2 linked regions of the Callithrix jacchus genome follow. The protein of the gene in region 2 interacts with the protein of the main gene of each other region in a pairwise test. Links are inferred from orthologs where the notes say so. Each region holds a gene or a part of one and is shown on either strand. Other genes may lie near its edges.

The links. The genes of interacting proteins can lie anywhere in the genome.
Region 1: the proteins of CREB3 (region 2) and VTI1B interact in a two-hybrid assay, tested with the Homo sapiens proteins (2 studies listed by BioGRID and IntAct). The two-hybrid records come from large-scale screens. The link is inferred for Callithrix jacchus from reciprocal best matches to the Homo sapiens genes CREB3 and VTI1B.

Annotation. Positions count from the first base shown.
Region 1 is NC_133509.1:102,653,943-102,657,416, forward strand, and holds part of VTI1B (vesicle transport through interaction with t-SNAREs homolog 1B), read right to left. Parts: intron 2,274-3,474; coding exon 2,100-2,273; intron 1-2,099. UniProt on the Homo sapiens protein: V-SNARE that mediates vesicle transport pathways through interactions with t-SNAREs on the target membrane. These interactions are proposed to mediate aspects of the specificity of vesicle trafficking and to promote fusion of the lipid bilayers.
Region 2 is NC_133502.1:142,636,774-142,640,522, reverse strand, and holds the start of CREB3 (cyclic AMP-responsive element-binding protein 3), read right to left. Parts: upstream 2,317-3,749; 5' UTR 2,127-2,316; coding exon 1,992-2,126; intron 1,899-1,991; coding exon 1,751-1,898; intron 1,680-1,750; coding exon 1,612-1,679; intron 1,499-1,611; coding exon 1,409-1,498; intron 1-1,408. UniProt on the Homo sapiens protein: Endoplasmic reticulum (ER)-bound sequence-specific transcription factor that directly binds DNA and activates transcription. Plays a role in the unfolded protein response (UPR), promoting cell survival versus ER stress-induced apoptotic cell death.

The DNA of each region.
Region 1 (3,474 bases), on a different chromosome or scaffold from region 2:
TACTGCTTTTGGGATCTCGTTATCTTTTTTCTTTACCCTCTTAAGAGACAGTTACATTGAATTGTGAAAGGAATTAACCTCCATGGAACTTTCAACTGCCTGCTACTAATCTGGACAGCTGGAGGATATTTCACCTCCAGCAGATGTCCACCTGCCATCTGTTCCCATTCCCCAGTGGCCTTGGTAAGCTGATCTCTCAGCTTATTCCTTGGCTTTTATTTATTTGAGACAGGGTCTTGCTCCATCACTCAGGCTGGAGTGCAGTGCTGCAGTCGCAGCTCACTGCGGCCTCAACCTCCCAGATTCAAGTAACACTCCCAGCTCAGTCTCCCAAGTAGCTGGGATCACAGTTGTGTACCACCACACCCTACTTTTTTTGATTTTTAGTAGAGATGGGGTTTCACTATGTTGCCCAGGCTGGTTTCAAACTCCTGGGCTCAAGCCATCCTCCCACCTCAGCCTCCCAAAGTACTAGGATTATAGGTGTAAGCCTGGCCTCCTGGGCTTTTAAATTCAACCAATCTACTTGGTATGTTCAAAAACCAGAACCCCTATGATCTGTAAGCAAATTATATTCTTCATAGCTTGCCTTGAATTTAGTACTTTATTGTGAATTTTCACTGAAGAGGGAAGGGCATTACTCTGACTTAATGGAGAATTCTAGCTATTAAGATCTACTCAAATCTTCACACTGAGCTAGTATTTTCCTGTCCAAATCTTGGTCCCAGTATGTTTTTCAATCTGATTTGCCTTCTGCTATTAAGAATACACATTCTATTGGCAAACTGTACTAATTTAAAATTCCAGCCAGGCACAGTGGCTGTAATCCCAGAGTTTTGGGAGGCCAAAGTGGAATGATTACTTGAGCCCAGGAATTCAAGAGCAACCTCACCAACACAGTGAGACCTGGTCTTTACAAAAAATTACAATTAGCCAGGCACAGTGGCACATGCCTGTAGTCCCAGCTACACACAAGGATCACTTGAGCCCAGGAGTTTGAAGGTACCGTAAGCTATAATTGCACTGCTGCACTACAGCCTGGGTGATAGACCAAGACCCTGTCTCTAAAAAACTAAAAAATTCCTATGAAGGTTAACTATTTATGGAAAGGAAAAAATAAATGAGTTCTTTTTCGGAGTCTCTCAGAGTGACAGCAAACTAGAGTTCCCTGATACAGTCGTCACTTGGTTTAAATATTTGTTTTCTTTCCACAATGATCCAGCTTACCTTACTGGATAATCCTTAGAGATTTTTTTCCCTATTGCTTTTTTTTTTTTTTAAGTATTATATAATAGTAAAGAGTTATAGTCTAGAATTGAACCATAATTTATATAATCTATAAACTGCCTATAAACAGTGGTACTATTTTAGGAAATCTGGAAAATAGCCTCAACTCTAAATGACAGGGTGTAAGTAGATGATGTTTTCATAAGAATAGCAGAATACTGTACTAGATGTATGAGAAATTAAAATCTCATATTGGCAGCTTTTAATTCCTGTAATCTTTTAAGTGCATAAATCAGGTTCCTTCTGTCATTTTTTCCTTTCATTGAAGCAAAAATTTCCAATGATGTCTAAATCTTAGGAGTAAAATTACTTCTAACAGAGATCTCTCAGCCAAGCAAACTTAAAAATTGAGAAAAGCAGCCGCGTACAGCGGCTCATGCCTGTAATCCTAGCACTGTGGGAGGCTGAGCCAGGTGGATCACCTGAGATCAGGAGTTCAAGATCAGCCAGGCCAACATGGTGAAATGCCATCACTACTAAAAATACAAAACTTGGCTGGGTGTGGTGGCACATGCCTGTAATCCCAGCTACTCGGGAGGGTGAGGCAGGAGAATCGCTTGAACCCAGGATGCAGAGGTTGCAGTGAGCGGAGCACACCACTGCACTCCAGCCTGGGCAACAAAGCAAGACTCCATCTCAAAAAATATAAATAAATAAATAAATAAATAAAAATTGAGAGAAGCATAAGAACCTAAAAAAGACTATTCCCTGAATTCAGAACTGCCGTAGCTTTTGGTCTTAGTATGGTTTCCAGGTGCAGTGGCCTCTCAATTTCCCCATACTTGCCCCTTTCCCTTTCTGCCCAGCCTTACTCTATTCTTTGTGCGTTCTAACTGGTCTCGTTGTTCCCCCAGCTCTTCTATGATTTCTGAACCAATCTGGTCAGTCTCCGTGGCAATCCGATGAGAACGTTCAATACTTTGGGTGGCCCGGTTCAGGCTTTCAGTGCCTTGTAGAAGCAGTGACCTTTGAGACTGCAGCCGATTCTGAAAGGAGTATGGAAGACAAATGTTAAGACTTCTTCCATTATAAATTCATTGCCAGCATATTCCTCCTGACCTTCCCCATGTAAGAAGGGATACAGTAAGCAATAATTTTCATTCCTTTTAAGACAGAACCAAAGCTAATGATTCTTTTCAAGGTTATAGACTAAAGCATAACCGGAAATCCAATTAATAGGATCACAATACCCTTACTCCACTGCCTTTTACACTTACACGAGGCAAGGAAAGATGGATTAAAAATACTGGAGCACTTTCCCTGTGTTGGTGATGAATTTGAACTGGTCCATATGTTTCCTGGACTATCAACTTCTGAAAGGTGGCAGCCCAGATGTGGCAGGTGTAGAAGCTACCTGATAATGCATATAGCCTGTAACTTTGATAGTAATATGGGCAAACCAACTAAACTCTGCAGCCCTAGAAAAAAAATTAATTCACTGAAGATACCCACTTGACTGGGACTGAGGATTGAAGGATCATGAATGAGCTATTCTTTTCTTCGTTTTAAGCCTCTGGCACCTGGTATTTACAGGGGGTCTCCCATCCAAGTACTAACCAGGCCTTAGCTTCTGAGATAGGGTGTGTTCAGGGTGGAATTGCCTAGATGAATAAATTCTTCTTTTTCAGCATGTAAAGAAATCATTTAGAAGTCTGAGACACTACCACATTCTGGAAAAAAATGTATGTGGTTCACTCTTGATGAGCTCCACAAAGAACTTCACCTGAGGTCAAACAAAAAACCCTGAGCTGCCACACTGGGGGTGATCTGGTCTCAGGGAAATTAGTGTCTGGGGCTTGAGCAAGCTTCCCCAGCTGCCCTAATTTCTCAAGTACCCTAATTTTCTAAATCCTCACCAAAACCTGTAATCCTAAATGCAGACAGCATGAAGATGAAAGTAGCTTTTGTCAGGCCAGAATTAATAACCACTGACAGAAATGGCAGCAGCTCTAAGTTCTTAGCTGTTCAAAGCACACACACACACACACACACACACACACAATCAAAAGGTACCCAGCTCACAGAGGCTTATTACAGAGCAGGTGACCACTGGCAGTAGGATCATCAAGAAGCCAAAAGATTGGCTCTCAGACCAGAAGTAGCAAGAAGTAGCATTTTCTTTTTTCTTGAGACAAAGTCTCACTGGAGTGCAGTGGCGTGATCTCAGCTCACTGCAGCCTCTGCCTC
Region 2 (3,749 bases):
CAACGTGGCTTATGCCTGTAATCCCAATACCTTAGGGAGCTAAGGCAGGAGGACTGCTTGAGCCCAGGAGTTTGAGACCAGCCTGAACAACATATTGAAATCTTGTCTCTACTAAAAATAAAAAATTAGCTGGGTGTGGTAGCACACACCTGTGGTCCCACTACTCAGGAGGCTGAGGCAGGAGGATGGCTTGAGCCTGAGAGGTCAAAGCTGTAGTGAGCCATGATCTTGCCACTATACTCCAACCTGGGCAATAAAGAAAGAACCTGTCTTTAAACAAAACTTTCTTATCCTGAACCAACAGCTGCCTCCTTATAATTTCTATCCATTAGACTTACCTAGTATTTCTGGGGCCAAATAGAATGAACTGTGTTAGCTATTTTAAGGCACTTAACATTTCCTCAGAGCTTAAAAAAAAGAAAAAAAAACTTACACAAAATTTTTAACATCATCTTAGGATAGCCTGCATCCTCTTAATATCTGTCAAAGATGGTCTCAAAATTGGACATTAAGATGTGCTCTACCCAGTATAAAGGAAAGCAAGAGAGTCACTTATAGAGGCAATAACTCTATTGCTACAGTCTCCAAATTCCATTCACTTTCCTAGTAGCCACATCACACTGCCGATTCATCTTGTACTTTGAAGAAATTAAAATTCTGCACTTTGGTAGCTCCAGGTGGGTAGATCACTTGAGCCCAGGAGTTCAAGACCAGCCTGGCAACAAGGTAAAACTCCATCTCTACTAAAAATACCAGAAAAGATTTTGCTGAGCAGGGTAGTATGCACCTGTAGTCTCAGCTACTTGGGAGGCTGAGGTGGGAGAATCACCTAAGCCCAGAAAGTCAAAGCTGCAGTTAGCCATGATCACACCACTGTACTTCAGCCTGGGCAACAGAGCAAGACCCTGTCAAAAAGAAAAAATTCCTGTAACCTTTTTATTAATGAGCACTGATTTCATCATAGTATCACAGTACTCTGCTTGTGAAGTTGCTGCTCATTGCTTAAAACTTAAAACTCAGGATTTTACATTTATTCATGTCCTGCTTAGTCCACCCCTGTTGAACTCTAAACATTTTTACCATTCAGCAAGAGGTAGACTACTATCAAGCCAATGAAGTGTCAAGGCCCTTCACTTACACAGTCCTTTCCAAGGCCCAATACTAAGTTACATTGATGATTTTTTTTTTAGGCAGAACACCAAAATTTGTATAAGTAAGCCCAACAAATACGAGTATCTGCCCTTGCATCTAGCACATTAGGTACCTGCCCCAACTTCTTATTAGCAACAAATCTGCTAATTTTCTCAACTCAATCCTTTTTTAAAGTTATTGATATAAAGTTAACAAAACTGGCCTACTTGGGACTCTTACTCCCTTTCAGCCTTTGCTCAACCAATGAGAGTCTTACCTTAGTGAGAGGAAGTGTCTCAGGCAGAATAAGCCCCTCCTTCTCCAATAGACTCTTCTCCTCATCTGTCAGTACCAACCTAACAGTCTCCTAGGGTAACAAGAAAGTGGGCAGCAGTTGCATGGGGATGTCAGAGAGGAATGGGGAATCCTGCCCCACCTGGGGAATGTGAGAGTAATCTTCCTGAAAATCAAGTCAAGTACCTGCTCTGCCATTTCCTCCACATGCTGTGTAGTCATCTGGGTCTCCTCTTTTCCAAAGCTCTCACTCTCTGCAAAAGGGAAAGTATGAATAGCCAGGCCCATGAATCCTCTCCTCCCAGCAAACTTACTTCAGACTCACCTAGATCAACAGAGACAGCTTCCTGTGGGAGGGAGTAGGTGTGGTCGTGGTGGACAAGGCAGGGGTTGGAGGAGCTGAGAACGTTCAACGATGCTGGGGGACTCAGCAGTGAGCTCAGCAAATCATCTAACTCCCAGTCACTCGGTACCTGCGCAGGGTTCCAATGAACAGGCCTTGACCTATAACCATCACCTGACCTCATGGACATCCCACGCTTTCCCCAGTCGCAATCCCAACCCACCTCAGAAAGCAGCAGCTCCCAGTCCAGTGGGGCCCTGATGGCCTCGTGCGCCGTCCCCAAATCTCCACTTGCCTCTAGCAGGAAGCCCAGCAGGTCTTCGTCACCAGGATCCAATTCTAGCTCCATTTGAGACATCTACGTAAAGGGTGGGCCACGGGGCCCCAACGTCCGAAGCCCAGACACGAGTCCCAGATCAGCTGTCGGCCTTTGGCACTTTTCCACCGCCCCTCTACGGCCGGGCTTCCCCGCCGGGGCTATCCGTAGCCCTCTCCGGACCCACCTCCCAGGCTCAATTCTCCTCAGCCTCCAACACAGCGAAAGTGACGCACCCGGCCCCGTGGCATTCTGGGACTTGGAGTTCTCTCCAACTGGAAGGCGGCCTGGGTGCCGCGCCACGTCCCAAGGGCTATGCAAATACAGGGGACGGCCCTGCCGTCGCCTCGCACCCCGAGGGCGGAGGCTCCGGGGCTCCGGCTCCGCCTTCTCCCCCAGGCTGGAAAAATTAAGAGTTCAGGCCTAAAAGGAAGCTCAGGCGTCATCCGGGCGTCGTCTCAGCATTGCGCCGTACCCTCGCTTCCTGCCGGGGAGTGGCTGCCGGGCTTCGGCGGCTCCTGAGCATCGAGACCGGGGCCAGAGCAGCTTCCTGCCGGCCCCACGACCATAGAGCGCGAGCCCAGGGCGCCGCCCGCGGGTGGGGGACGTTCCTGGGACGGAAGTGGCCGAGGGAGTGTCGAAGGGAAGGCGAGGCCGGAGCCAGAGGGCGACCCGAGAAGCCTCAGGGCTGCGGGCCGGCGGGCAGGGCGCAGAGCCAGGCAGCGCAGGTAGGTTGGACCGGACCGGGCTGGGCCGGGCGGGGGCCTTAGGGTGGGGCCGCGGAACCTGGCCCTGGTGGCGGGCAGGCGGGGCCCTGCCTCTCCTTCGTGTCCGGTTCGGGTCCTATTAGTAGGAGAGGTCAGGGTCCAGCGCATCTCGACCTGGGCTTGGCGTGAAGTAGGCCGTCTTAGGGGAGACAGACCTTTCCTCGGAGCAGTCCTCTGCCTGGGATAGGCGTTGGGGAGCGTGAGGAGTCGGGTGGCAGCGGGGCGCAGGGCGGGGACGGGCTTTGGTGTTAGCTGATAGCGGGCATGTGGGTAGGAAAGCTTTGGGTGAGTTGCAGATTAGGTGGGATCGGTTTAGGAATGAGGGGTCGCTGTAGGAGTTAAAAGCTGGAGTTAAAACTTGAGTCAGTGTGAGTCAGGTCCGTTTTGGATAGGTAAGGTTTAGATTAAGGTCATTATTTTGTTTACTGGCATGGCCAGCATTCGTCATAATTTGAGTTCAGGATCGGGTTAAGGGTCAACAACAGGAATCAGGTTAGAAATCTGTTTGGGGGATTAAAGAACGTTGGCATGCTCACTATTAAGAATAAACAGTGAAAGGGTGAGTTAGGAATCAGTTTACAAATGAACTTTAGGCTTTGGGGTCAACATTTAGGGTTAACATCAGGGGATTTGGTGCTAAAGGTAAAACGTAGATCAGTGTTAGGGTTCAGGGATTGAATATGGGTCTTTGCTAGGAAAGAGATGAATGTCCAAGCCAGTACTGGGAATCAGAAAACAAATTAGAGGTGGGGTTAGTATTAGGAATTTGAGGCAGCTTTAGGGGTTGTGGTTTGAGGCTAGCATAGTTGACCTTGAGCAGATAAAATTTAAGAGGTTGGCAGTAGGTAAATGCCCTTCTTTTGTAGGGAAGTTCTTTATTCCTATGTAGTTACAGGGG